Linked DNA regions of Lonchura striata. The protein of the gene in region 1 interacts with the protein of each later gene in a pairwise test. Links are inferred from orthologs where the notes say so. Each region holds a gene or a part of one and is shown in the gene's direction. Other genes may lie near its edges. The genes, in order: KXD1, TCEA2, GABARAPL1 and C4H4orf46.

Region 1 (6,996 bases):
CTGCCTGGCAGCCGGGAGCAGAGCCCAGGGCTGATGCCAGACATCAGGAAAGGGATTTTATCCTTTCATCGAGACAGGAAAGTGTCTGCCTCGAGGACAGACATGCACCAGCTCTCCCACTTTCTGTCTGGAAGCAGGCTGGGAAAGCGGGCTTAAAACTCAGCCTGGTGTGAAGTGGGATTGCAGCAGGACCTGCAGCGTGTCCACATCTGCCCTGCTGGGGCAGGACAAGGCTCCCAGTCCTGCGTGGGGCCCACAGGCTCCCCAAAAGCAGCAGGAAGCACCTCGGAGCTGAGCAGGGCAGGGTGGCAGAAGGACGTGGTGGTGGTGGCCCTGGTGGCACAGCCACGCTGTGCCCTCTGCTGGGGGACACATCCCCAGCACGCCGGCTCTGCCAGCCCGTGCCACGCCGGGAAAAGCTGCCTCCAACACGAAAACCTGGGTGTCAGGAGGACAGAACGCTCCTGCTCAGAGCTCCCCGGGGCTGTCACATCAGCCTCACACAACCACCAGCACCCCCAGAACACTTCCAAGGGCTCAGGAGAAGGGATGTCTGTGAGCGCCTCGCAGCAGGGCAGGTGGAGCCCAGCGTTGCTGGAGTGTTTTCAGCACCGGTAGCTGCGGCCCCTGAGTCACCCACGCCTGCCTGGAGCCCGGGCAGCAGCCGGGGAGGGCAGTAATTTGCTGTCCTTGTGGTTTCGCTGGACACGTCACTGCCGGGCATTCGGATTTTCCAGCCCTCTCCAATTAGAAGCTCCATCGGAACTGGGGAGCAGCCGCCCTGCCCAGGGACGTGCCAGGGGAATGGTTCCCAGTGCTGCTCCCTCTCCACCCTGACCTTGATGGCAAAGGAAGGGTTTGGGGTCCTGCTCGCCCTTCCAAGGGTGCTCAGACCGCCCCTGAAGGTGCTGTGGGGCCACCAGGCACCTGCTTGTGCCACATCTCAGCCGTGACCTTCAGGGACTGGATTGTGACATGTATCCTGATGGTCTGGTGGACCTCCCAAGAAAGAAATGGACACAAGAGATCCAGGCGAGGATTAAAGCCCATCTGGAGAGCCAAGACCCCCAGGATGACCCTGTGCAGGCAATACCTCCCTGCCTCCTCCCAGTCTCGCTCCTGCTGGGGTCATTTCCTGGCACTGGTGTTTGATTTCTCCCGAGGCTCCAGTCCTGCAGCTGATCATTAACTGACAGGAAATTCCTGACCCAGAGCTCGCCCTGCCCGGGTGCTGGACTGAGCTCTGGCTGCTCCCAGCAGCCAGTGATTCACTCTTGGGGCTGCTCAGCGAGTTTGTGGGGACTCAGCTCTGCTCCACTTCCCCCAGCCACAGCACAAAGTGCCCGAGCCACCTGGGGCAGCCTGGACCCTCCCTGGGGCATGGCTGGAGCACGGATGGGCTGGCAGGGATTCCTGTCACCAGCAGGACCAAAGGTCAACGGGGAACCTCTCACCGTGGAGATAAGGCTAGAGACCAGCCCAGCCACACTCCACGTGATGCTTCCATCACTCCCCAGGCTCTGGGGGCTATTCCCAGCCTCCCTCCACGGAGCTGGGGACAGCTCCAGGGAGTCTCAGCCTCCCAGGGGCAACGCTGATTTTGTAGGGACGCAGACAATGGAGAAGCAGCATGCAGGAGATGCCCAGCTCAGGGGGATCACGGGCAGCACACACCTCCAGCCTACCTTGTTTGAAGGCTCCAGCTTCAAGGCTGCCTTCAGGATGGGAATGGCCTCTCTGTACTCCCCCTGCTGAGCCAGCACCTGCAGGGTGACACGCGGGTGGAGGAGCAGGGCTGAGCCGCCCCTCAGCCCCCGCCACGCCGCGCACAAGGGTCCCCTCCTCACCTTCCCCTTCCGGAACAGAGCCTTGATGTTGCCCGGCTGGTGCTCCAGCACCAGGTTACAGGACTTGAGAGCTGCCTTGAAATGGTCCAACTTCAGCTGCGAGGCCGCCAGGTTGTTGAGACACTTCACCTTCACGTCCAGCAGCTCGGCCTCCTCGTCCGGGCTGAAATCCACTGCACACACCCCGAGGCCGGGTTAGAGCAGAGCCAGGAGCCCAGCGACCCTCTCCTGGTGGGGACAAGCTACCTTTGGAGCTGGAGCCCGCGATCCTGAGGGCGATGTCGTAGGAGTTGATGGCCAGCACATAGTCTGCCTGCTGGTAGAAGAAGTTGCCACGCTCCCGCTTGCGGTTGGCCAGCTGGATCTTCTCCTTGCCGCTGAGCAGCTCCAGGTCCGGCGCGTCCCGAGCCGCCAGCAGCTCCACCTCCAGCCTCAGCGACGCGTTGGGGGGGATGTCAGGGCTCCTGCACAAAGCCACGGGGCCATTGTCACCTCTCTCAGGTGCCGGGCTGGGTGGATTCGGCACCGTGGCTCAGCAATCCGAGCCAGGGAAGGTTCCTGGGGCAGGGAATGATGGGGATCGTTCGGCTCCAGGGAGGACACGCTGCTCGTGAGGAAGCAGAGGTTGGACAGCTGGGCTGTCACCAGGGGAGCAGGGGACAGCTTCTCCAGCCCTGGTTTGGGAGCGCCCTGCCAGCTCTCACCTGCCCTGAGCTCCGTAGCAGTACTTGGCTTCTGACACAATCAAAGCCGTCTCGCCCATCTCCAGGAGCTGCACGCACAGGTCCAGAGCCTGCAGGGGACAACAGAAGGGACTGTGAAGGTTCTCCAGTTCCAACCTCCCGTCACGGTTGGACCTTTACATCTTCCACAAGACCAGGTGGCTCCAAACCCCCTCTAACTCAGCCAACATCGCAGGGAAGGAGCATGAGAAAGGGCAGAAGGGCCGCTTATGTCCACCAAAGGGATGTCACCGACCCCAACCCTCCCTGTGGCCCCCGAGGTGAGGTCCTGCTCCCAGGTGAGGTGCTCACCTGCAGGACGTCGCAGTCCCCCAGCGTGAAGGTGAGGGCAGGGTCCTCTTCCACCACGGTGCCATCCTCCAGCGTGGCCTTCAGGCGGATTGTCACGTCCTGGCCCTTTTGGGGACGGCTGTCCGCGCCCTGGCCCGGCACCAGCGTCTTCTTCTTGAGCAAACCATTCCCTGCGCACAGAGAGAGCGAAGCACATCGCGGGGAGGGCAAAGCCCGGCGGCCCCCACCCTCCTGCGCCTCCCGCCCGGCCCTGGCGGCGGCGGCAGCCCCGGGGGAGCCCCGGCACCGAGCAGCGTCCGCTCTCACCCAGAACATCGAGCCACTCCTCGGGGTCCCCGGCCGCGCCCCCCGCGCCCCGCTCCGGGGGCTGCGCGTCCTCCCGCGGCGGGGCCGCCGGCCGCCCCACGGCCTCCAGCGGCGGCAGCTCGCTCAGGTCATCCTCCTCCTCCTCCTCCTCCTCCTCTTCCAGCACCTCGAAATCCTCCGCCGTGTCCAGCTGAGCCGCGTCCGCCGCCGGCTCGGTGCCGGTGCCCGCCCGGCCCGGGGAGCCGCTCCTCGCTTCTTCCCCGCTGGACGCCATGGCGGCGGAGCGACCTGGAGCGGGGGAGAGAGAGCACAGGGATGGAGCCTGCTCTTACCGGCAGAGCCGCTCCGCCGCTCCGGACAGCACCGGGACCCTCCGGGGCCGGGGGATGCGCAACGGGACAGCGGAGACTCCGGAGCGCGGGGAAGGATGGGGCCTGGCGGGGGGCTGTCCCGGTGGGATGGGGTCTGTCCCGGTGGTGGGGGGGTCTGTCCCGGTGGGACCGGGGGTCGCGGTCCCGGTGCCGTGGGGGGGGGCGGCCCCGCGCCCCCCGCCCGCCCCACGTGACCGCCGCGCGCCCCCCGCCGCTCCCACCTGGCCCGCGGACGCGCGGGCGCAGGCCCCGCCCCCCCGCTCCTATTGGCCCGGCTCCGCCCACCGCGCCACGCCATTGGGCGGGGAGCACGCCCGTCAGCCACGCGCCCGCGGCGCCCCCCGACGCCTTAAAGGGGCCGCCACCAGCGCGGCCGCCCCGGCGCGGCGGGGCCGAGGGCGCGGCACCGGCACCGGTACCGGAGAGGCTCCGTGATGCCCGCGGGGGTCGCGTCCCTCCCGCCCGGCCGCTCTCCGGCACTTCCGGCTCGGCGCGGTGACGGCGCGGGGTCGCGCCCCACGTGACTGCACACCCGGAAGCGGCGCTGCCGCCCCCGGTACCGGGACCGCTCCCGTCATGTGAAGCGGCGGGACGGGCTCCCGCAGGTGCGCGGGCACTGCCGGGAGGAGGCCCCGGGGACACCAGTGGGAGCTCAGGCACCCGTGTTCCCGAGGGAGCCCGGGGCTGGCGGCGCTACCGGCACCGGCGGGCGGCCAGCGGATCCCGTTACCGGCGAGCGGGGCCGCCCCGGGAGGCGGCACGGCGGCGGGGTGCCCGCTGCTGGGTGCACGGCAGGGCGGAGGGGGTCCCGCTGTCACGGAGGGGAAGGGGAGGGGGGGGGTCTCCGTTACCGGTGCGGGGAGCGCGGGGGGCTCCGGTGCCCCCGGTTGAGCCGGTCCCGCGGTCCCGCAGGCCACGATGGAGCCCACGGCCTCGCAGGTGTTCTGCGGGAGGGTGCTGGGCATGGTGAACGCCGAGGACGTCAACGCCATCATCCTAGCCCAGAAAAACATGTGAGTCCCGGGGGGAGCGGGCGGTGGGAGTGCCGGTACCGGCACCGGGAGCTTTGCCGAGCTCCCGGTGCCTCCCCCGCGCAGGTTGGATCGGTTTGAGAAGACCAACGAGATGCTGCTCAACTTCAACAACCTTTCCAGCGTGCGCATGCAGCAGATGAGCGAGCGCTTCCTGCACCACACCCGGACCCTGGTGGAGATGAAGAAGGACCTGGACAGCATCTTCCGGAGGATCCGGTGCGAAACCGGGGATACCGGCCCGGGAGGTGGCCTGGGGGGGCTGGCGGGGCGTTACAGCGGGGCACAGGTCAGAGTCTGGGGGGCTGTGAGAAGAAAAATCTGCTGCGGAAGGGAAAATACACGATGGAGTGACACGTGGAGGTTGGAGCTTTGGGTTTCCATGATCCTGCTCGGGATGGGATTGGGGTGGGATGGGCTTTAAGGTCCTTCCAAGCACTCTGGGAGTCCCTGGTTCCATGAACGAGGTGACACCATGGTGTGAAGATGTCACCAGGAGGTCCCTGAGGGATCCAGGAGAGCTGGAGAGGGACTGGGGATGAGGGATGGAGGAACAGGACACGGGGATGGGGGGATATGGGGAAGGGATCGTTCCCTGTGGGAACTGGAGGTCGGGCTGGAGGAGGGAAGCTCCAGGGACACCTTGAAGCCACTTCCAGAGCCTGAAGGGGCTCCAGGAGAGCTGGAGAGGGATTTGGGACAAGGACTGGAATCCCAGCACAGGGAATGGCTTCAAAGTGGGAAGGGGAATCTGGGTGGGATATTGGGAAGGAATATCCCACCTCCAGGCTGGGATGGAATTCCCAGAGAATCTGTGACCATTCCTGGAAGTGCCCAAGGGGGTCTGGAGCACCCTGGGACACTGGAAGGTGTCCCTCCCTCTGGGACCTTTAAGATTGACGGTGGGATGGAATTCCCAGAGAAGCTGTGACCATCCCTGGCAGTGCCCAAGGGGGTTTGGAGCACCCTGGGACACTGGAAGGTGTCCCTGCCATGGGTGGGATGGGCTGGGATGGGCTGGGATGGGATGGGATGGGCTCTGCTTGGGATGGTCACAGAACGTGGGATTCAGAAACAGCCCGTGTGCTGGGAAGGGTGGGATGGGCTCTTCTGGGGGTTTGGGGTGGGAATCCCTCAGCCTCGGGGTTCGTGTGCACTGCCCACAGCGCTGGGAGCTGTGGGGCAGCTCGGCTCCGGCTCCCTCCGCTCCCCACGGACTCGGATTGTTCTCTCCTCCCCAGGGCGCTCAAAGGGAAGTTGGCAAAGCAGTACCCAGAGGCTTTCAGCAGTGAGTGATTCCTGACGTGCAGATTCATGGGTTGGGCTGGGAGGGACCTCAAAGCCCGTCTGGTGCCACCCCTGCCGTGGCAGGGACACCTTCCCCTGCCCCAGGCTGCTCCAAGCCCCATCCAACCTGGCCTTGGGCACTTCAGGGATCCAGGGGCAGCCACAGCTGTGCCAGGGCCTGCCCACCCTCCCAGGGAGGAATTCCATCCCAAAATCCCATCCATCCCTGCCTCTGGCAGTGGGAAGCCATTCCCTTTGTCCTGGAACTCCACTCTCTGTTTTATTCCTGTGGGAGCAGTTTCTGTTCCCAAGAACATCTCTCAGGAGTCACAAGTCCATGTGCTGGCATGTAGCTGCTTCCCTAAAAATCAAAAAAACCCTCCTTAATTCCATTAAATCCAGCTGCAAGAAATCACAAACAACCCCTAATTTACGTGCTGGTGATTCTCCGGGTATTTTTTAATCCCTGCTCCCAGCACGATGGGAGAACTGCTCTCCCCACCACCAACCTTTACCTCCCTCTCCCCTCTCAGACATCCACGAGTCCCCCATCCTGGAGGACGACGACGACTTCGACCCCGTCCCCAAGAGCACCACGACCACCATCGCTACCTCGGAGCAGAGCACGGAGTCCTGTGACACCAGCCCCGACGTCATCTCCCCTGCCACCAGCCAGGATTTTGAGGATTTATCCCAAGGCCACTACGACGGCCCGGCCGTGAACGGACAGAGTCTGACAGACGAGGACACGGCCAGCGGCCTGGGCTAGGAGCCACGTCCCACCCCGGAGAACTTTCTATCCTCTATTTATAGCTGTGTGTCGCTCTTTTGGGTTTGCTTTTTTGCTTTTGGTTATTTTTTTTTTTTTTTTTTTTTGGTTTTCCTCGGGAAGAGGGAAGCGAAACTGGGAGAAGCTGAGGGAGGAAGGCGCTGCCCTTCTGCCTGGAAACTGCGGCTGGGGTGGAAAGCCAGCGCTGGCTTCAGGGGAATCAGTAAATCCTGGTTGGAAATGCCTCTTGTCCTCCCTCGTTCCTGCGCTCAGGAGAGCGGCTACGCTTTCATCTGCATAGATTTTTTGGTGCAGAAAAGCCGTTTTTGGGGCACAGGTGTTTAGGTTTTG
Region 2 (7,534 bases), on another chromosome or scaffold:
TGCTGCCACGGAGGGGCACTGCCATCCAGAGAGCTTCCCACTGCCCAGATCTGCAGATCGCATGGGTGAGCAGGGACAGCATAGGAAATGCTACATGGGAAAGCCCTGTGTGGGAGCCCAGGAGCCCCTGCCTTCCCACAGCAGACTTATCAAGGCACCAGTTCAGAGTGGTGCTTTCCATGGGCCAAAAGGGAAGTGCATACACATCAGACTTCTCAGGGTCAAGGATGCTGGGCAAGCAGTGAGAGGAGAGGCTGCAGGGGGCAAGGGAGGGAACCGGGGCGTGGGGAAGGAGACACAAATAGCAAAATGAATAGCTTGAACTTCCTATGTTTTATGGAGGTGAATAAAAGGAGACAGAGAGGGGGAGAGAAAGGAGACCTGAATGCCTGCACAAGGTCTCACGCTCACACAGTCCAGCCTAGACCCCAGAAACTGCTGGTGGCTGATGTGGGGTGGCAGCCTGTACCCCCTTGGCTGGCATGTCTCTGGGCTGGCTGCTTGTCTGGCCCAGTGTCCCCCAGGGGTATCTCATGAAGCGTGACAGGCTGCTGCTTAGCATTTATTCCTCTCCCTGTCATTATTGTTTTGAACAGCAGCCAGTATAATTAAAATTGTTAGGAGAAAGAGGTTTAGGGAAAATCCAAAATGTCTCAGAAGAGCATCTGCAAAGCTGGAGGTCCAAACTCCACCCTGGCACTCACGATGAGCAGGGCCCATGGGAGCCATCATCTCCTCTGCATCCTCCCTTCCATGCTCCCCGTTTCTCAGGGTGGCAGAGGCTGGGCTAACACACAGGGTGGTCCTGGCCATGTTCCCCTTGCAGCTGCTGCCCACTGTAGCTAAATCCTGCAGCTTTTCCTGGTGTAGGACTTGTCCCAGGAGGTCCAGATGGCAGTGTCCCCAGGCACCTCACCTGCAGCTCGAGGACAGATGCAGTGGGGGGATGTAAGAAGTGGAGGACATGGAGCCCCTGTGGGCTGCTCTTCCAGAATGGCATGGATGGATCTAAAATATCTCCTGGGAACCATGATGCTTTCTGTTGTGTTAGGAGGGCCTGTGCCACAAGAGGAGGTGTGGAGAGGACCCTTGGCTCCTCAGAAGAGAAAACAGGATGGTCCATAAACAGAAATGGAAGTCACCATTCATGCCACATTCTCCAGGTTTCCTAAGTGTTTGAATGGAGGATTTGACTGCTCTAGGGTCAAATGTCCCCAGTGCCAGGGCTAGGAGATTAAGGACATCAGACAGCTCCAGCAAGGAGGGGAAGAAAAGGCAGATCCCTGCCTCCATTCCAGGGCTGGCACAAGTGCATGGTTAGAGGATTAATCAGGAGCCCTCCAGCCAAGGCAGGCTGAGGGTGAAAAGGAGAGGGAGGCACATCAAAACCTCTCCCCAAAATAAGTGGTGCTCTGGCAAAGCCTATGGCAGCTGCTCCCATCTTCTGCCTCAGTGTCTCCCAGCTACTGATTGTCTGTTGCTGTCTGGATAGGATCACTCATTACCAGCTCAGAGCCCAGTGTGTCACCCAGGACAGCCAATCCTCCAAACAGTGACCTGCTGAGGTCCTGGAGATCTGAGCACCCCTGAGGTTAGGGTGTGTCTCAGGACAGAGCTTCCCTGTGGGTTTTATGGTGGGTGGATAGACAAGGCAGGCCCAGGAGTGCCTCTCATCTCTGCTTTTTCCAAAAGTGGACCAAGCCTCTGGTGGTTGGGAGCAGAGAAAGGGTGGGGTTTGATGGCTGATCTCCAAATGACTTGAACTTACTGGGGATAGTGGAAGCAACTTGATCCAGCCCATTCGCTGCGTTCAAATCTGCTGAGAGTCGCATGGGAAATACAGTAGCCCAGTGGAAAAAGCAGGTGAGATTTTGTGGGGTTTTATTTTGCAGGAAACTTCTCCTGGCTCTCCCAGATCTGCCTGCCAAGGGCAGCTGCCAGCGAGGCACCACCAACGGAGACTTTCAGGGAGTCTCTTGGTGTGCAGGGGTCAGCAAAAGCCCCCTCCCAGACTCTCCCTGATGGACTCGCCCCTGCTCTGTTTTTAGCACATTCAAGTAGCTGCTTTCACAAGAGGTAAAAGAAAGTTCATGGATCCGTTGACAGATCACCCCAAGCGGGAATTTCTCTGGGAATTCCTGCAATAGCAGGTTAGCTCCCGCGGAGGTGGAGTTTCCTCTGGATCTACCTCCACCCAGGCTTGGGGAGAGCTCTGGCCACCGGCTCCACGCTTGGGGGGCAGGGCTGAGCGACGCCACCGCTGCTTCCCAGCCAAGGTCAGCCAGAAACCCTCCCTGTCCTGCAAGCGCCTGGCCTGTTGTGTCCTGTTAACCCTTGGGAAGAGCAGAGCCACAAGCTGGCAGGCTTGGGCTGCAGAGCTGGCCCGTGCCCAGGGGCACACAGGGGCAGTGGACATGCCCAGCAGGCACACAGAGCTGCAGGCGTGAAGATTTCGTGCCATTCTGTCCCTTGGGGACTTGCTGCCAGGCAGTGGTGGGCCCTGGGTGAGGCTGGTTGCCACTGCAGGAGGCCAGCGCTGGCAGGGAGATGGCTCCTGCTTGAGGCAGGGAGTGACGGGGTGATGGTGCTTGGCATCAGTGACTGTGTGCTCTGGAATCTGAGACACGTCCCCGGCCATACTTGTGGTCAGGAACCATCTCTGCGTTGCAGCAGCACAAGCCACACTCCCAGTGGCAGCAGTGCTGCTTGAGCGTGTCTCTGACGCCAAGGACCGGCGTGACCCGACCCCACACACGGGACAGGCAGCTGCTCATTTCCAGAAGGTCCCCTTGTTGGGACTTGTTTCCTCCTCTCTAACAGAGGTGGGCCTCACCAAAATGGCACCTCCTGACTCCACAGCCAGACCCTGCCAAGGGCTGGAGGATTTCCAGGTGCTGCACAGGCTCCAGACTGTGGGGTGGAGGGAACTTGTGTTCGCAAACACACGGCCAAGCAAAGAAGTTTCAAGGTGTCATGCTAGGGAGAGGGTCCAGTGCTCACTTTTGGTCTGGGACCACCTTTGCTGCTTTAGGGATGAACTGCCATGTGTCTCACACATCCAGGGTGCAGCTCTTGCTAAAGGGTATCCCAGAGCTCCGTGGTATTTTTATAAATCTCCATGGTATTGCTATAAAGAACAGCAAGCAGGCAGCTTGCTAGTGCACAGATTTGGGGATCAGCCACCCATCAGAGCTTTAGCACTGATGTGTTCAATGCTTCTCTCTCTGGAGGTATTCAAAACTCATCTGGACAAGTTCCTGTGTCACCTGGTTTAGATGACTCTGACTTTGAAGGGTGGCTGGATGATCTCCAAGCCCTTGAGCCCTACTAATGCTGGGATTCTGTGATTCTGAGATTATGCCCTCAGTGACTCAGCCTCGCCCCAGGACAGAGTGCAGTTGGAGACGAGCACTGGGAATTCTGGTTCCCAAGACCTGACTGTGCATCCTGAGGCCACACGTAGCATATCCCTGTGCTTCCACATGATCTGCAGCTCCATCGGGGCAGGACACGGCCGCTCTCCACCAGCACAGTCAGGGCCCTCTCTGAAACATCGGCGCTTGGCGAGGGCTGTGCATGGGAGTTCTCCCTCTGCCAGGAACCAGCTGGAGGGAGCGACAGCGCTCGGCAGCATCTCCCGGGGGATGCGCTGCCCTCGCACAGTGTGCGAGTGCCATCTACAGGGGCTCTAGCCCGGCCCCCCCAAAAAACCCATCCTCTCGCCACTGCTGACTGCTGTCCAGTCCCCAAGGCCGTATGAGGGGCACAGCCTCAGTTTATCCAGGGAGCATTTATCCAGCAGTTTATCCAGCACTGCTCCGAGGGCTCAGCACAGCCACGGACAACAGTCGCAGCCACAGAATGGTTTGGGGTGGAAGGAGCCTGTAAAGCTCATCTTGTTCCAACCCCCTGCCGTGGGCAGGGACACCTTCCACTATCACAGGCTGCTCCAAGCGCCATCCATGAAACTTCCAGGGATCCAGGGGCAGCTTCTCAGGGCACCCTGTGCCAGTGCTGACACCACCCTCACAGGGAAGAATTGCTTTCCAATACCCCATCTGACCCTGCCCTCAGTCAGTGTGAAGCCGTTCCCCCTCGCTCTGTCACTGCAGGCCCTTGTCCAAAGTCTCTCCATCTCTCTTGGAGCCCCTTTAGGCACTGGAAGGGGCTTTAAAGCTCTGCCCGGAGCATTCTCTTCTCCAGGCTGAACCCCGCAGCTCCCAGCCTGTCTGCACTGCAGAGTGCTCATTATCTCCGTGGCCTCCTCCGCCCCGCTGCAGCATTTTGGGACGCGGCAGTTCCTGCCTGCCGTGGCACAGCCCCCGCCCGGGACCGGGGGTCCCTCACCGCGGCTCCGCTCCGAGCCCCTCCGCGGGGCCCCCACAGCGCCCCCGGCGGCCGGGCGGCGCCGCGAGAGACGGCCGCGGGGCGCGCTGGGAGATGAAGTCCCGCCCGTGAGCCGCGCTCCGGCAGGCGGCGGGTGGAGCTGGAGTCCCGAGGACTACAACTCCCATCGTGCCCCGCGTGCGCCCGCCCTGACTGCGGCACCGGGGGCTGAGGTGGGCACCGGGCACCGAGCGCTGCTCCCCCCGCCCGGACCCCCGTCCGGCCCCGGCGCCGATCCCGGGGAGCGGCGCGATGGGCGGGGAGGACGAGATCGTGCGCATTGCCAGGCGTCTGGACAAGATGGTGGCCAAGAAGAACGCGGTGAGTGGCGGCGGCAGGGCCCCCGCAGCCCGGTTGGCGCGGGGGGCCGCCCCCTGCCCGCTCTTGTCTGGCGGACGCGCCCCCTCCTTTCCGCAGGATCCCCTCCTCGCTGCCGCGCTGGGGCACCCCCTCCTCGGTGCCGTTGTCAGGGGCGTCCCCCTCCCCAGACCCCATTTTGGGAGCCTCTCATTCAGCGCCGCCCCGGTCCTTACATCGTGCTGGAGCACACGCTCCCCCTTTAAAGTGGGGTTCCCTCCCCCAGGCCCCGTCGCTTTTTCCTTTCCCCATCCTTTGCGGAGGTGTGGCATCCACCCACTGCCAGATATTGAGCGGGCAGCCCTGTGTGCCCCCTTGGGTGCTGTGGGAGCCTCCAGTCCCCATGCTGAGCCCCCCACCCCAGGCCTGCGGCATCCCCAGCCCGCATCTCAGCACTGCGGGGCTCACCCTGTGCTGCCTGCCCTCCTCCTGGAGAGCATCCCCAGCCCTTCTCCCCTGCCCCTTGGGAGCCTTTGGGAGGGGAGTCCCCACCAGCACCGGCCTGGGGCCCCGGTCTGCCCCCGGGGATAGCCCCGGTGCTGATGGATTTGCTCCCTGCATCTGCATCCCACACCAGCACTGCTGCTCGCTGCCGTGGCCCCTGGAGTGTGGAGGGCTGGCCAAGCTGCTGTCTGCACTCCGGGAGTCTCGCAGGGTGTGCTGTGACCCCTGTGACAGCCTGGGAGGACAGGAGCCGGTATTTTCCGGCTTAGTGGGATATATCAGTAGAAACACGGTGTCATGCAAGTGCTAAGGCAGAAAGCTGACAAGGGTTTGTGAAGGAGGTAGGCTGTACATCTGTGTCTGGGGTGGGGGTGAGGGATTTTGGGGTTGGGAAGGGCTGTGGGGAGTGGGAGATGATGGGTGAGGAAGAGGAGGCATTAGAGGAATGTGGTATTCTGTGTTAGGATGCTGGGTACATCACAGTTATCATTTATGCTGGTGTAATCACAGGAACTTTTGGTTGTTGGACTGACCCTGCCAGCCGTGGGTAGAGCAAGCACTGTCACTTGTGTCGCTGTTGGAACAGGCCAGAGAAGTGTGTTTGGGCTAAAGAAGAGCCTGTGATGTCTGTTCTTGCTCGTGGCAGGTTTTCAGCATCAGTGTTGAAATAGGAAAGGAGCAACTTTGTAGAATTTGCTTCCAGCTACATTGGGAAAGAGGCAGCTTCTTACAGGAGGGGTATGCGACATTTCCTCTTGGCTGGCGTTTGAGATAGTGCTGAACTACAGCATGTTCTGTTTTGGCTAATCTTAGAGCTCTTCCTGCAGGACAGTTTCCCAGAGTTTGTTGCTCTAGTTTTTCCGTGGATCCTCATTTGCTGCCGTTGTGCTGAGTGGCTCCACTTGGAGTCACACCGGGTCACTTCGGGTGTTCAGGGCTGGAGGAATGGGAAGGTGTGAAACTGCCTGCGGTGGAAGTCAGTCCTTCTGGGTTTGGTAAATGTGTGTGGTTTATGCTGGTGTGAGTTGATTGTGTGCACGCTGAAAGCTTTGACTCTGCTTTGATTTGGGCATCTGTTCTGTAGGGTGAATTACAGCTGGATTGCTTCCTGGGATGAGTTGGAAGCAGCCCTTCTGTGTAGGGAGGACGGGATGTGAGGACAGGGCTGGCAGTGCAGACACTTCACTTCCCTACAATGGTGGCTGTGCAGGCCTTGTGCTGCAACTGGGCTTGGAGTGGTCGGCGTTGTAAATGAGCTGCTAAAAATGAACACTGGAAGCCTTGTGTGAGGGATGGGGGTTGGGCAGAAAGAGCCAGCTGAATGGAGACAGGCCCATGCCAGGCTGGGATGTGCTAGAGGGAGACAAGTGATTTCCAGTTCTCTGAGTGACTGCCAGTTTTAGGTGTCTACAGATTCCCCATCAGATTTTTCCTGGTTCGAGGATGTAGAGATGATGTAAGGAGACTTCACAGAGCAAGTGTCAAGTGACCAACCTGTCAGCATCACAGCTTGCTGCCTTTGCTCCTGGTCTCAGCTTTTCTCCTGAGCAGAATCGGGTATTAATATGAAAACTAGGAAATAGCTACATGGAATCACTGACAGTTGTAATTCAGAATGTGTTTTTCAGGTATTAAAAATGTTTAGCGTGCCAGGTAAGAATAATAAACAGGTGCTGCACTTGCACCATACACAAACAAGGACCTGTAGCACTTCAGTGGTCTTCTGTTTTGCCCATTCCAATGATTCAGGTGCCTTCAAGTTGCAGGATCTATTGTCTGGAACAGCACCCAGCAGTGCACTTGCTGATGTTTCAGGGAACATTTGGTGGTTTTCCCTTTGAATTCAACTTTCTTTGTCTATTCCCAATAAAATTCCTTTAATAAAAGCTGAGGCACTCATTCTTTCTCTTTTCCTCTCCAGGAAGGTGCAATGGATTTACTGAAAGAACTGAAAAGTATGCCTATGACTTTGGATTTACTGCAGGTGAGTTGCACAGTTATGGTAACAAGCTTAAGTTTACATCCAGATGAGTTCAAAATGTTCTCTAAATAAACTTAATAGATTTCATCAGACTTCTCGCCTCATGCAAAGAGTAAAAATAAACATTAAATCCAACAAAATAGTGCAGAAGTTAGGTTTTGGACTGGCAGTTCAAGAGCTCTGGGTCACTGTGTGTAATTGCTCAAATCTTGTTTGTAGGCTGCAAAAAGAGGAAAGACTGGGTTAAAGTAGCAAACACAGAGGGCAGTCGTGGGAGAAGTTCTTTGTAATGTTGATATTTAGAACTTTGGGGAGGAGTGAGCAGAATTACAATTTGGAGTCTGTGATGCGGTTTGGAGTTTTTCA
Region 3 (7,892 bases), on another chromosome or scaffold:
TTTAGGGTACATGTGAATAACTCCACAGAACATGCCAGTTATCAAAACCTTTAACTATTCATACATCTGAGCAAAGAAATTAGTGTTCATTGGCTTACAAGCTACATAGTTCTCTTCATTAAATAGTATTCTATCACCTATTGTTATTTATTTATTGCTTCTAATGCCAATTAATCCACATATTTAGTCTTTTTATTATTTATTTCTTTTTCCCAGGTAGAGAGAATCTCAGTAATTTTCTTTGTTAGTTTCTCCTTCATCTCCAATTTCTCTAAGTGTCTTTGGTTACAAATTCTGCATTCTTTGTGGCCAGGTCTCAACGAAAAATTTCTCTCTCTGGTCGAAGAGCACTGAAGCACATCAGTCCCTAAATTGGTAATTTGTTTTTCTAACACATGGGCATCACCCATAGCTTGCTTGTCATCTGTTACTCAATTCATGGATTAAATATTCTTAAAGCAATTTCCCTCCCGACACTGCTGCACAGGCTCCTTTTAAAAGAAGTATTAACTTGTTTGGTAACAGTGCCACCCTTAGGTTCCCCTAAAACACGCAGTCTTTGAGAAAAACTGGTTTTCAGAAACATCCCAGTGGCCCCACTGTTGCTCCTTTGTTTTCACAGGAACAATGATACCCCTCCCCAACGAGCCACTCCCAATCACTGGCTGGAACAAATGGATCTCAAACTCTGCTTTGCAAGTCTGGGCTGTTACTGCTGCTTTTGATCATGCAGCAATTGTGATTGTGTTCCTTAATCTCCTCATTACATCATTTGTATGCCTTTAAGCAACTTTAGCTGAAGCTGGGCCATACAAGAAGTATGGTAAGAAAGAGCAGCCTTTTTTTGAAAAAAAAAAAAAAAAAAAGAAAAAAAACAACTAAGAAATTGTAGAAAATAGAGCAGCGAGACAGCAGCCCAGCATGGACAACACAGAGTGCTTTCCTAGAGGAAAAGAAAACATTCAGACAATTAAACATTGTTTACTGGGAGTGAGTAACCCTGTGCCCTCATCCAAGACCAATGTGCCCATACTGGCTCTGAAGGTGCTACAGATCCAGTGCCAAGAGAAACTGGTGACCAGTCACGAGGGACACAGCAGAGACACCAGGCAAGGACTGTGCCACGGGTGGCAGCGAGCAGATCAGAAGCACGAGTGCCTTCAGGTGTGCCATCTGTGGTTTAATCACTGTTCAGACCACAAAGCACAAATTTCCTGACAAAAGACACTTTGATATGCGGAGTCCACACTTAAGATTAAAAAAAAAAAAAAAAAAAGTCTGTAGAGGCAGAAATGACCCAATAATGAATAATGGTAATAATGAAAGAAACATGCAAGGGAGTCCAGAGTTATAAGCAGGACTGTATAGTACGGCACAGGCTGCAAAGCCTGCCCCCAGGTTCTGTGCAAATATTTGTCTCCTGCTCCTATGCATGCAGCATTGGCAATGCTTGGGAAATCCCTCGTGTAATGTACCACATGACCTGCAGATACTGCAGTACAGAACGTGCTCACAGTGTTCTGACACTCTAGGTTAAGAAAAAATATATTGTTTTGACAGTCCTTGAAGGAGCACTTTGTGCTGGCAGTCCAGGGTAGGAAAATTAGCCAACACCATTTCCAGTTCCTCCCTCTGGCAAACGAATCCAGAACGTGGGGTTTGTCACATGCCCATGGGCTGACATTTTAACAACCCTAAGTCAGATGTTTAGATGTTTGTCACTGCTTCTGCATGTATCATCTTCCTGCCTGTTTTGCCAGTGACGTTGTTGTTATTATTGAAGCTGAAGGAGAGAGCTGGGAATTCGGTGCCTGACAAAGTGGGGAAGCAGGAGGAGTCTTGGGGCTGCACATCCAGAGCTGCACCATCAGGGCAGGGAGAAACTTCAGTTAGGGCATTTGCTGAGGAGAAGTCATTGAGCAATCTGCTCACAGGGCCATGTCTTTGCATCAGAACAGGAAAAAAAACCTGGCACTTTTCTCTGATTTGTCATGAGAAATTAAAACCAGGTGTTACCTTAGCTGCCTTGGGAGAAGTCCTGGGGATAAAAACAGCAATTCACATGATAAGAGGAGTTTGAGATCGGTCTGTTTAAATTTGCCAGAATATGTTGGTGGCTTAGGTGAAACAGACTAGAAAACTTCCTCTCTTTTGTGCTTGAGGAACATCACTGCAAACCTTCAGTACACCTCAGCAACTGCTGTGCTGCAGGCAGTCAGGAGGCAAGGAGGCCAAACACAGGCTTGACATAAAAGTTTAATGCCATGAAACCAGAATTTTCCTTGGGTCTAAACCCTGGGGCTCCTTCAATCTGAGATATTTGCTATGGAACTGCAAAAAATAATTCCTTCCTTCTGACTCATCCCTCTGAGCTCCTCTGACCTGGCAACCATGCGAGAACATTTACGTGTCCTAGGACAGACAGAAACGTGTTGACGGTGCTTCCTGTACAAACCTGGTGCACATGAACTAGAGAAAGCTGGGACACTGTGGCTGGTGACATTCCCACTGTGGGCTGCTTGATCCTTAGGAGATTTGGGCATGCACCTGCTGGAACTGGCCATTAGCAAGAAGTCACTCCACCCCATACTAAATAAAAGTATTTGTATTAAAAAAAAAGTAACTGTAATAAAAGCTTAGAAAGTAAAGGACCTGCCAGAGTTTTTGCAGACACACTTCAGCCATCCAAAAGTAGGTGTCATGATTCAGGTGAGAAGAATCACACCCCAGCACACCTTTTCCTACCCCTGTTCATCCTCAGTAAAGACACGGGGCTGAATTGGGAAATCTGTGTCTTTTTACCTCTGCCTTTGGTGTGGCCATGGAGAATCACCTCATGCATCTGGCTGTTCCACTCATAGTCTGCTATGGCTAAAACACCTGCACAGATAAAAGATCAGCCTTGGCAAAATTGTGTTTCCTCTAGGTAAAGCATGCAAAGAAAAAATAATTTAATACAATCCAACTCATTGAATTGTAGCAATTTATTTTTGTCCTGATTTGAGCATGCTGAGCCATTCATTAATACCTGCTCTTCTGCTGATCAGTGAATAATTGTGAGTTGATCTACTCCTAGGGGAAAAAAACCCAGATATTTTATGTGCCAGCTGAGTAACTGGGCCGAAGTTGGCTGGGTGTTTTGGCTTGTTGGCAGACCTTTAGCTGCCTGCTGTTTGCAACACGCATCTGGGGTGACCCATCATATGGCAACGCTTTCTGCCAGAGAGGTGCTACAAAAAAGGCAACAACCCAAACCCCAGCAGCCACGGGGCCAGTCCAAGTGAAACAGAGAATTTTGGAATTCACTTAAGTTAACAAAAGGAATTAAGCATTTCTATTTTAGCTTGTAAAATTATGTGTTGAATTTTAACTTTTTACTTAAGAAACCAAAGTACAAAAGGGCATAAGAAATGCAAATTACTGAACCTTCTTGCATAAGCAATAAAAAAAAGGGATCAAAAAGAAAAAGAAACCAGATAAAGAGGCTCCTCTATCTCCAGACTTATCTCTCAGACTGATACTTGTACTCAGATAAGCACCAAAAGACTGAAAATGCATGCGCAGAGAAGAAGAGTACTAAAGTTCAACCATGAGGATGACTATGATCTTCAGCCTCAAGAGACCACCAGGGACCCCCGTGCGACCACCACAGCAAACTACGTGTGCCCAGAAGGGTGTAGACTTATTTAGCATTAGGGACAAGGGCAGGCGGGGCCAGGAGTTAAATATGCATAGAAAAGTTGTGTAACGTATTGCATATGGAACACCTTTGGGAATAAAAGTTTGGGTCAGATTAAAACTCAGTGTGCAAGTCTTGGAGAAATATCTCACTTGTGCCAGGCGCTGACCGTACATACCCCCTTCATAACTACCCCAAGTTGTGGAGCCTATTTATTTATTCCTTCACAAGGATGAGCCATTATTTTTGTGTATGCAGCACAATTTTTTACATTTCGCACCACACCCATCGGGGCAAGTGGGGCCACCCAGGCCTCTCCTGGGGAGCCCCGAGCCTTGTGCCCCGCTGAGGCTGGTGCTGTTTTGACAGCCCTGAGTCACACTGCAGAGGGCATGTATGTATTAAAAAATAAAAATTGTGTTTAAATGCTTGTGTTATGTGTAGTAGATCTAATTTGCGCCATTTCTGGTATGATAAATGTGATATTGAATATTTGTTGGAGTATACATGTTTGTATTAGGAGTCCCCCCCAACCTCACAGGTGACACCTGGTGTATATTAGAGCCCGATTTGATGGGCCATGTCTGGAGAGATACGGGATGCCCAGAGATGGATATGATGGAAATCCTTGGGCAGATACATGTGAATGCAGGGTTCCCGTAAACTTCATCAAGGGATCCAACAACTCCAGACACTGAATTGTTCTTCCTCATCACCAAAAAAGAAAATTTTTTTAACCTATGGACTCTGAATAGAAGAAAAGACTGATTGCAAAAATCTTGACCTCAGGCGGAATTTTCCCTATAAAAACCACTCATGCCAGGATGGAGGCGTGTGGGCACAGAGGAAAACCTCTGCTGAGGCTGACTCCTTGTTGCACACCCAGGGCCAGCCCCGGGCTCGGCTCTGTTCTTTCCGTGTGGCTGGATAGATAGAATTGGATTGCAAAATAAATATTTTATTTTTTCATTTTAATCTGGCTGGACAAATTTTCGTGTATAACAGTTGTTTGTTTATGTGCTGCCGGGCAACACATCAGTGCACGAACACTGACGGAAGGTGCCCCCCCTTCCTTGCCGCCCACCTCTCCCTGCCCCGGCCAGCGCGGTGCCTCCCTGTGACGTCAGGGGGGCACCTCCGCGTGACGTCACCCCTCCCCGTGACGTAAGGGCGGGGCGGGGCCCGGGCGTGACGTCAGAGCGGCGCTGGCGGCGGGGCGGGAGCGGCCGCGGCTTTGTGCGCAGCGCCGGCCGGGCGGAGGCAGCCGCAGCAGCCGCCAGCGGAGGGACAGCCCGGCGCCATGAAGTTCCAGTACAAGGAAGACCACCCGTTCGAGTACAGGAAAAAAGAAGGGGAGAAGATCCGGAAGAAATACCCCGACAGAGTCCCCGTGAGTGCGCGCTGCCGGGCGGCCGCCTTTGCGCTCCGTGCTGGCCGCCGGCTGCTGCTCGCCTTGTTTTGGAAGGAAATGAGTTTAGTACGGATGGCCGTGATCTCGCTGCTCTGATTCGCATCCCCGGCTGCTTTTCTCCCTAGAGCGAAGCTGGGGCTATTCGCGATGCGCGGAGGGCTGCGGTGCGGGTGGGGGTGGAATACACCTTTTCCCCGGGATGCGCGGTGACTCCGCGGTGGGAACGCTGCTGATCTTTTTCTGGCATGCGTGGGGGTGAGTGGGCAAGGAGCTCACCCGTGTTTCTGTGAAAATGGAGATCAGTGAGGCGGTTAACCGGGTACTCTTCATGCTAAACACGGTCTGCATCCGGGTCATCTCGTACGTCCCTGTTATTTTTATTTTACTTCACTATGGCTTGTCTTTTCTATATAGCCTTGCTCTTTTCCTTTGCATGAGCAGAAAAAAATGATACTTCTGGGTCCTTTTACCCTCCTGTTTAATCATCCTGTGGAGAAAATGTCACTTGGAATGCAAGGTCATCTAGCTAAATTTTGCTTCCTCATTCTTAGGCCCCTTTGGAGTGCCTACGGGAAACTTCTGGCTTCATAATTCCGAATAATTATTGGGATGAAAGAAAAAAAAAAAAAAAAGACAAATATAATTAAGTGTAGAGTGTTTTTTCTTTTTTAATAAACATTTTGCAAGTATTCTTTTTTTCCTTCCCCACTGGAGAGGTCTGCCCTAGATAGACTGCACAACTGTACTGCATTCAAAAAAACTGGGTCCTTCCTGAAAAACTAATGACAAAGGGGGAACAGTTACACCCCATGTTTTCCCTGCAGGCTAACAACATTTTTTTATCTTGGGAGTGACCCTCAAATGGACTTGGAAACAAGTTTTTGGAAGTCAGTATTTGGGTGCCTTTGTTCTCTCTTTTTTGGCATAGGTTGAGCATGCTTGAGGTGTGTGGGGTTGGGTATTTAGGATGAGGGCTGTGTAGGTTGGGTGAGAGACAAGGTGTAAATTGAGGATTAACGTGGCAGATTGCACAGCAGGCCATGACAAATGTGTCGGGAAGAGCCCTGTGGGGAGCCCAGGACAAGGCCCAGTCTGGCAGGAGGTAAAGAAGGTCAAGACAGGGGCTCATCAGCAGAACTTTGTAAAGAAAACCAGGACCAGAATAACAAGGTGTGCTGGAGTTAATGATAATTGGAAATTATGCACAGCAAGGCCCAGATGTGAATTATTAGGGATGGCCTCTTGAATGCAGCACTCTGTTCTTCACATCACTTCTGTGTCTGCCCTTCCTGACAGCAGGATCCTTGAAGATGTCATCCTTTTGGCTGCCTACGCTGCAGTGCCGTGATACATCTCAGCATTTTGATGAGATTTCACTGCCCTGCGTTATCACAGTCGCCACTCAACAGCCAGGCAAATGTAGCTATCTGTATTCTACCCTTACGGTTTTCCTTTTAGTTGTTTTTTGGTTTTTGGTTTTGTTTTTTTTTTTATGTATGGGAAGGGTTTAGTGGCTCGGAAGAGATAAGCTGCATTATACAGCAAAACTGACTACAGTTGCCAGTCAGATGAGCAGAGCATCTCCATTCCTTCCGTGCATCTTTGCAGGAGGGAGATGTCCCTTAAGCTCTCCTAAATCAGTGGTAATCTGATTTAAATCTCTCCTAAATCTTTCCTAGGGGCTTAGAACCCCCAACAGTCACCTCAAAGGCATGACTTCTTTTCCTTTATTATCTAATGACCAATCTACAATCCCCCTCCTTCCCCCCCACCTCCAGTTAGGGAAGTCACAGCAAGCAGTTTGGCTTGTCAGTAGCTTTTTAAATTGGAGGCAAGAACTAAAGGTTTTTCCCCACTGCAGTTTATTGTGTTAGCTACTGCTTTGTTTGGCTGTGCTGGTAAAAAATGTGAGAAGTGTTGTGTGTTGCTGTTCAGTGAGGTTGTGGTAGTGTCCTTCTCTCACAGCATTTGCCAGCTGCATCTTGTACAGAAATCCATGTCCTACCTCAGACTCCCTGAAGGAGCTTGAATGCCTTGTGCTAACTTAGGTACTTGAAAATCTTGAAGTAGCTGAGGCAACCATGTTTCTATTTTAAAATCAAACCTGGAAACTTCAGCGGGTTTGGCTGTGCTGGCCACATCCAAATGGAGCACAGGGAAAAGATGTCCTAGTTGGTACCTCTCTGGTGTGAGATATTTTGCAGACACTCACTTGGCTTTAGAAAGATTCAGGTTAGCACAGCACCATGTCCAGGCTAAAATACGCCAAGCTCATGATAACATTTTGTTCTGGTGTGGTGTTTCACTAGTGGGTCAACATCATTTTGCTTCCAAAGAAGTCTTAGTCCACAGCAGTCCAACTTTTTCCCTTACACAACAGCTGTATTTGGGTTGCCAAAGAGCTATGGGAGCATGGAGCCCTTAGAAATCAGTCCCACAGTGTTTCCTGTGGAGTATTTACAGGGTCTAAGGAAATTAAAAAGTTTAGGAAGTTCAGAAAAATCCAGCTTTTGCTTTCATTTAGGTGGTCAGAATGGCTTCTGCAGAACAGCAAGCCATATAGATTGAAACATGATATATCTTTTACCAGTTCAAAAATACACATGAGGGAAAAAAAAGCCTGCAGGTTTTTTCTGCACAAACACAGTAGTTCCAAAGGTTTCAATGGAAAAGGAGATCAGGTCACTTTGGAATAATTCCTGCTTCGGAGGTAAATATTTTGCCTAGCTCTGCTAACAAAAAATATCTTTTAGCAAAAGACCTCTTGATTTGTTTGATCCTAAAGCTGCAGAGCTTTGTATT
Region 4 (7,281 bases), on another chromosome or scaffold:
CTGTATTTTGAATCTATATATTAAAAGTTCTAAAGCAAAACTTCTAAGCAGTATGACTTAAATGGTCAAACATTAAGATTATGTATTTATTCATGCACTGTATGATCCACCTGCACTTTGCTGGATCTGAGCCAGGGAATTTAGACAGAGAAACAGAGTTTTCACAATACATATCACTTAAAAGGAATGTTGCACATGTACAAATGATCATGACTGCACTGAAGGGGGTTCCTAAGCCACTTTTCATAAACACACACTGATGTCATTAGTACCTCAGCTGCTGCATAGCCTGGATATATCTCAACACCCAAAGCTTCTGCTTGTTCACCTAGCCAACTCACAAGGTGGCCCAGACGTACTATGTAATTTCCATGATTAACCATCGGAAGTCCTAGGCAAAAAAAGACACACACAGATATAACACATCGGACACTAAGCAAAATAACCAAAGCTGCATACAGTAGATGTCACATCTACAGCTACTACCTTCAAAATTAATCTCATGTGTTATCAGAGCCATCACCTACACAGAGTGTATCACTGTAACCTATTATACTCTACATACACTTGCTGCACTACACGGAATCAAACTTCTTTTGATTCATGGAGAAGTTCATGGATTCATGAAGTCTCCAAAAAGACACAGAGGAAGTTGACTCTCTTCTCCCTCAGTAAACTTTACCTGGAAGAATTGGCACTGGAATTCTAGATGTCTCTGTTAAAATTCCAAACTTGTCTTCAGTTACAGGAGTATTAAGTGGAGCCTACAACAAATAAAATAGAAGAAGCAGAGAGTTATATTTTCTTCGCCAATACAACACAAACAACAAAATCAAACAATCAAACTGGCAGTAGAGTACAGGTTTAGTATAGCACTTCTATGGGAAGGTATCACAAAAGAGCAAATAAAGTACTTTATAATGCAGTCATCAGGAAAGAATCAACACAACTACTGAAGTAAAAAAAAAAATACAGCTTTGCAAATAACATCTATTGTACACAGGCCTGTGCTACATCAATATTCTAGACCTTTTTAAATATGGCAGTTCAAGTTGCAGATTTATCACCATAAGGCAAACCAAAGAGCTGTTGGCTGACTTCTTGCATCTCTCAGGTGAAAGCAGGCAGCAGTCTGCAAGTCAGATGGCTGTTCTGGGACCTTCCTCCTACAATCATCTTAGGCCTTTGTTACAGGCTGTTCTGAGACTTCCCTCCTAAAATCATCTTAGGCCTTTGTTACACCACAGTATCTGCACAGAAGCCAGTCTACTCTGTGCCATTTCCAGGAAGAGCTATTGCACAGATCGAGCATATCTGTCACTGGTAAGGACCAGACATCCTGCTTGTACACAAGAGCTGGATTTTGCACAAAGGCAGCAAGTGCAGGGCACCCCAGGCTGCACCATTCAGATTGTGTATATGCAGTAGGACTGCTACAGAAAAGAGCAAAGGCCACAGCATGTCTGTGTAGACAGAAAACATTTAGCATTGTTGAACTACAGGAAACATACTAAAAAGAAGGTACCCATTTTTGTTTTGTTCCATCAATGTATTTTAAAACGGTATTAATTACTAATGCTACCAGGTACTAATTCGTGCCAGAATCAGTCAAATATGAAGTTCATTACAATCTAGTAATGAACTTTGGTGTTGACATGCTCATACATACCCCTCGCTCTTTCCAGTCTGGAAAGAGTTCTTCTAAGGACCTTGGCTCAATACAAGCACCAGACAATGTATGTGCACCAATCTGAGAAGCCTTTTCCACCAGACAAACACGCAGTTCTTTGCTGTGCTCAGCAGCCAGCTGTTTGAGTCGAATGGCTGCAGAAAGGCCAGCAGGGCCTGCTCCAACAACGACAACATCAGCTTCTTCTGCAAATCTTTCCATGTTTACCCCTTCAATAGAAAAAATTGATAATAACATAAGCCAATCTCTAATTTCTTCCAGCCTCTCTCTCACTGAACTTAAACCCTCATGGTAAGAGCAACTGAAAAAAACAGCAGATACATACTGACTAGTACTAGATCTTATGATAATCACTAAACCAAAAGCTGCTTGTATATTTTCTTTATGGAAACAAGCATAAAGTTTCTTCTGATAATATTTTATAGCACTAAAGACACTCATTGTGAGATTGCAAGCAAAATTGTCATTTGAAATATTAGTACTGTATTTAAGCATAGAGAATTTCCATGAAGAGAAAAAACCAGCAACATATTTTAGTGTCTTTAAGACTCAGCAATGATTAATAATAATAATAATAATAACAAAGCATTTAAAGAATGCAATGTTTTTACCTTCCCATCGTTTGTCTTTGTCCCGAGGATGAATTGTGTAATGTGTAGTTATGCGAGGCACAGAGGCGGTAGAGGCACATCGTGAGACACGCACCGATAGAAGGCAATCTTTCTTTATCAATTTTAAAGCATGAATGCACTGACGTGCTGCAAAAACCAGAAACAACTTTGTCAAATCAATAGTTTTCCAAATTTTTCAAAATTTCAGAGACACAAGTAGTGCAACAAATATAACAGCTTCCCCCCCTCCCAAAGGGCTACCAGGTGATGTAAAGATGAGGAACCATAAACACAGATTTTTAAATTCTCAGGTAAGGAGGATGATGTGTAATTTTTTTATCAGGGAAAAAAAAATAAGCTTCCTCTTTAAGCATTCTTTACTCAGTACACAGGCCAGCCATGCACAGCTGACATAGGATAATATGCATGTATACACAGGTGCCAAACATATTTTAAGTTCTGATTTAATTTTGAACTTCGAAAGGTTTATTTCAGGCTGCATTAAAAATGACCAAGCAACAGTAGAAACAGGACAGGCAAGTTTAGCTCTGACATCTCAACACATGATGCTTCTAAAGTACACACCATAGTCTGCAGTAAAAGCACAGACTTGAACCCAAGTATGCTTAGCCAAAGTTAGGAACAGTAGATACAGGTAGCCATTACCTTTGCTGCAAATACAATAATTGTTGTGAGAACAAATTAGAATTTCTGTGTAAGGAAATGGATGAAAAACAAAGTTTCAAATTATCAAACCAGGAATCTTTTCAGAGGGCTATTACATGTCATCATTTCCCTCTTCTAGAAACAAATAATATGCATGTGATTTGTAATAAAAAATGCTAGCATGAAAACTAGTTATAGTTAAAAGGTCTGTGAATTAATGTACGTTGACTAATAATTTTCCTTCCTTAAAAAATTCTCTATCTTCAGGGATAAAGAAGACTAGTACCACATTTAAAGTGGAGTATTTCTGCAAAACTACATAAGTGAAATCACCAGTGTGCTATGACTGAGATATTTAGTTGAGAATGGCAATTGGCAAGGTCAGCACAAGCATCTTGTGTCCTGGTGACAGAACAGAGGTCTCTAAATGCGAGGTAGCAATTATTATCCATGTTGGCTCCTTGACAAGAATTTTGTACCTTAACCAATATAACATAAAAACTATTATCATATCACCTCATAATTCTTAGTTATCCTTTACCTGCAACCAAGCAGGATCTGAGAACAAGCATTCTATAAGGTTGGTAACAGCTACACTCATATATATATTATGAAACTTTAACTTAACTTTCAGGATTTTTTTTATTTGACCATAACTGATGGTACTAAGAATCACACAGCATATATATATATAAAAAATCAATTAATTTGCACATATGCAAAAGAAGTGAAACTCTGCTCCGAACACCTCTGATAATAACAGAGGTGGGTGCAAACGCTGGACGGGCAGATTCTTCCCCAGCAAGCACACAGTGCCTGGGCCACGACGCTACTGAGAGCGCAGGGACTCGACAAGCGATGGGAAACGCCTACATGGCCAAGGAGAAACTTTGCGGCAGCTCTTCAGTAACAGCTGTCGGGATGCTGTCGCCACAACTACTTCCCAAGCAAGGACACTCGTGCCAGTGCTTTAGTTCACCCTCTAAAGCGGGTGACACCTCGCGCCGCTCAAAAATCCCGCCCATCTCTTTCGGCACGCCGCCGCAGGTGAGCGGCCCGTGTCGGCAGCCCAGAGCCGGGCCGCGGGCAGCGCTCCGCACGGCGCTGTCCCGCCGCCTCCGGGCGCACAGAGGCCCCGGGCAGGGGGAGCCGCGGGGCAGCCGCGGGCCCGCAGCCGGCCCCGGTCCGGCCCCGCGCCCGCCCGGACACCGGCGCGACCCGGCCGCGACCTTTGCTCTGCCTCGGCGCCGCGCCAGCCGCCGGCCCCACCCGCCGCACGAGCGGCCGTCCCAGCCCGGCCCTGCCCAGCCCGGGACGAGGCCCCGGGCCCTCCAGCCGGCCCCGGCGCGTTACCTCGGCCGGCGGACGGGCAGCGGCGGAGCAGCATCGCAGCGGCCCCGGGCACCTCTCGCTTCTGCGTCCGCCCCGCGCACACCCCGCCGGCCCCGGCCCTGCCGCGCCTGCGCGCCGGCCACGGCTCCGCCCCGTCCCGGCGGCAGGACTACAGCTCCCAGCGCCGCCCGCGGCCGCCGCCGCCCATCCGCGCTGCGGGCGGCGCTCGGCGGGAGCGGCCCGGGCGTGCCGTGGGCGGCGCTCGGCGGGAGCGCCGAGCGGGACATGGCCGAGGCGGGGCCGCTGCCGCCCGCGGCGGTGCCCGAGGGCTCGCCCGGCGCCCAGCCCCGCAGGGTGCGCGGCGGGAGCGAGGGGTCGCGGCCGCCGGAGCTGCCCGGCGGCGACACGCGGGAGCTGCTGGAGGAGGTGGAGCTGCAGATCGGCGATGTGAGTGCGGCGCGCTGCCCTCGGGCGGGCTCGGGCCCCTCGGGGGGGCTGCCGGGCGCCGGCGACCCCCAACCTCTCTGCCGTCCCTCCAGGCCGCCTTCTCGCTGGCGAAGATCCTGGAGGCGACGTCGGCCGTGTCGGCCCAGGTGGAGGAGCTGGCCACGAGGTGCTCGGAGAACGCCCGGTTCCTCAGGACGTGGCGGGACCTGCTGAGGGAGGGCTACGAGTCCCTGAAGCCCAGCGGCTGACGCGGCCCTGCCCGCCGAGCCGCCCGCCCGGCCCGCGCTGCGGCGGGGCTCCTCGCGGCCGCTGCCTTGGGGACCTCACGTGGAGTTTTGTGTTCCCCCCGACCTCTTTCACAAATACTTGGGGGCTCTCGTATGGACGTTTTATGTTAGTCTACCGAAGAAAAAAAAAACTTCGTTTAGGGAATCAGTTTTGACTTTTAGATTCTTCGTTGAAGCTCAAGCGATCTTATTCTCTCATTTTTATCTCTTTCGTGTTAGTGTGGTAGATACAAAGTATGTGTGTTACGTTCAGAACTCATTACTTGTAGGGAAGTGATAAAGGATTGTCAGCCTTCCTTTTTAAGAGCTGTCACCAGCAGAAACCCGGCCAACCCCAGAAAAACTTCAATCAACTTCAGTTTTTTGTTACACACACTTTTTCTTTATGTTGAGTATGGGATAATGCGGCAAGTTGTGGCTTATTTATGAGCTGTAGAAAAATTCTATATCCCAAACTTTACTATTTTTAGCAGTATTACAATGTATGTCAATAAAGCTGCAGATTCTTTTTTGCAAGATGTTTTATTACTGCAAACAATTTTACCCTACCTTTTGTTGTAATAAAGTGCCTTATCATGGACAATATATATCTGCAGGGTAGAAGTTTAGCAGCATTGTTTACTGATAGGATGAATTATTTTGATCTCTAAGTAAAAGCTTCTATTAGTTAGAATAGAATCTGTGACATGTATTCTCTCCTGTCGCTGGGGAAGCACTTCAGAGCTTTTTCAGTATTTGGTCCTGTTTTTTATCTTTGCCTTAAGTAGTGACTAGTTTGATAGTCTAGAGCTTAGAATTAATAGAACCTTTTGGTCTGAAAGATGGCTGAGCTGTAATAAATAGCTGTCCTGACACTCCTGTACCTTTACCAGGCACTGAAAAAAAGTAATGCTGAGATGCAATGGCAGGCTGCAGGAGAATGTGACTCTGCTATGACTTGTTTTTACTTACAGGACTTTGAGGAAGACCCACTGCAGCTTGCTTATCAAAACAATAAAGAAGTTGCAAAAATTATGAAGTATCTACTATTATTGTGTTACTGATAGAAACAAAGGTGACAGTGAATATAACCATAATCACGTGGAGTGAAAACCAGGTAATGGCAAGGTCGGGGATTGTTGTACATCTCACCAAAGGCAGTTGCAGTCCTTGAGAGGGATGGCCCCTGAGTAAGGAAGTTCTATTGAATTGAATTCTAATTGTCCTAGCTAAAGATAATCCATGTGGCAGGATTTTGCTTAGGTGTTTTTAACCCCTACAACCCGAAATGTTGCTAGACATCTTGGAAAAGAAGTAATTTTGTTCAGCAGATAATACTTTATTTCAATAGAACATACAGTAGTGGAAACAAGATGCTTAACAATCTTCAGTTTCAAATCCAAAGATAATCCAAAGTTCTGTAAACAGTTGAAGTGTGAGCCACACTTTTTCAAAATTCTACTTCTTATACTGCTAAGAAGTTAAGTGCAAACATTGTAAGTATCTTTTAACTTAATTTTAAATAGTTTCAAATCAACACAGAAAAAAGAGCTTTTTTTTACCTTTTTGGGCTTCTAGGCCATCAGACTGAATACGGTACTGAAAGAAGAAGGGAAGCTGTAATAATTCATAATAGAAAACATTCTCTTCAGTAAAAATGTGTGAAGGAACTGCCTCTAGGGGATTGTTTCAGATAGGATATTTTGTATTTTACCCTTGTAATTCTGGGAAGTAAAATAATGCTTCAAAAAGTGCTGAATGTCTGCGGTCTTTCAATTACTCTAACTATAATGCATCCAGTCATGCTCAAAGTGAGCCGTGACACCTATTAAGACTGATAATTTTCTATTTGACCATCTCCCTTGTTCATGGAGATACATCTTAAGACTGGAATTTGTTGAAGTCTGCAAGCTGTGGTGAGCAACTTTTGGTAGCCTGTTAAGAAAAGTGAGGAAAAGAGAAGCAGCAAAGTGCTGGTATACTCAGTCCAGTCTTTCCAGAGTAAGACGGGGGAAACTGCCACCAGTTAAAGCTGGGGGATACTCACTTAGGAAAAAAACCAACCAAACAAAACAAACCTCTAATTTTTGTTTATTTCTTCATCATAGTTCTGGTTCTGCCTGAATCAGAATCTTAAAGATCATCTAGTCCCAGCCTCTCCCTGCCATGGGCAGGGACACCTCCCAGTAGACCAGGCTGATCAAGGCTTGTCCAACCTGTATCAGAACTATCATTACAATTTCACTATTGCCTTTACATGAGTGAATTA

Evidence for each region.
Region 2: the proteins of KXD1 (region 1) and TCEA2 interact in binary tests that used the Homo sapiens proteins (3 or more experiments, as listed by UniProt). The two-hybrid records come from large-scale screens. The link is inferred for Lonchura striata from reciprocal best matches to the Homo sapiens genes KXD1 and TCEA2.
Region 3: the proteins of KXD1 (region 1) and GABARAPL1 interact in binary tests that used the Homo sapiens proteins (3 or more experiments, as listed by UniProt). The two-hybrid records come from large-scale screens. The link is inferred for Lonchura striata from reciprocal best matches to the Homo sapiens genes KXD1 and GABARAPL1.
Region 4: the proteins of KXD1 (region 1) and C4H4orf46 interact in binary tests that used the Homo sapiens proteins (3 or more experiments, as listed by UniProt). The two-hybrid records come from large-scale screens. The link is inferred for Lonchura striata from reciprocal best matches to the Homo sapiens genes KXD1 and C4orf46.

What each region holds. Positions count from the first base shown.
Region 1 is NC_134630.1:7,140,364-7,147,359, forward strand, and holds KXD1 (kxDL motif-containing protein 1), read left to right. Parts: upstream 1-3,992; 5' UTR 3,993-4,163; intron 4,164-4,470; 5' UTR 4,471-4,476; coding exon 4,477-4,571; intron 4,572-4,655; coding exon 4,656-4,808; intron 4,809-5,830; coding exon 5,831-5,877; intron 5,878-6,409; coding exon 6,410-6,645; 3' UTR 6,646-6,890; downstream 6,891-6,996. Other genes in the region: peptidyl-prolyl cis-trans isomerase FKBP8, read right to left, coding at 1,686-1,763, 1,848-2,020, 2,094-2,311, 2,552-2,640, 2,882-3,051, 3,188-3,461.
Region 2 is NC_134619.1:6,781,230-6,788,763, reverse strand, and holds the start of TCEA2 (transcription elongation factor A protein 2), read left to right. Parts: upstream 1-4,519; 5' UTR 4,520-4,638; coding exon 4,639-4,707; intron 4,708-5,305; exon of another isoform or gene 5,306-5,528; intron 5,529-7,108; coding exon 7,109-7,171; intron 7,172-7,534. UniProt on the Homo sapiens protein: Necessary for efficient RNA polymerase II transcription elongation past template-encoded arresting sites.
Region 3 is NC_134607.1:2,234,603-2,242,494, forward strand, and holds the start of GABARAPL1 (gamma-aminobutyric acid receptor-associated protein-like 1), read left to right. Parts: upstream 1-4,877; 5' UTR 4,878-4,979; coding exon 4,980-5,069; intron 5,070-7,892. UniProt on the Homo sapiens protein: Ubiquitin-like modifier that increases cell-surface expression of kappa-type opioid receptor through facilitating anterograde intracellular trafficking of the receptor. Involved in formation of autophagosomal vacuoles.
Region 4 is NC_134606.1:40,736,496-40,743,776, forward strand, and holds C4H4orf46 (renal cancer differentiation gene 1 protein), read left to right. Parts: upstream 1-4,578; 5' UTR 4,579-4,584; coding exon 4,585-4,746; intron 4,747-4,838; coding exon 4,839-4,994; 3' UTR 4,995-6,767; downstream 6,768-7,281. Other genes in the region: ETFDH (electron transfer flavoprotein-ubiquinone oxidoreductase, mitochondrial), read right to left, coding at 273-391, 683-764, 1,670-1,899, 2,302-2,448, 4,321-4,354.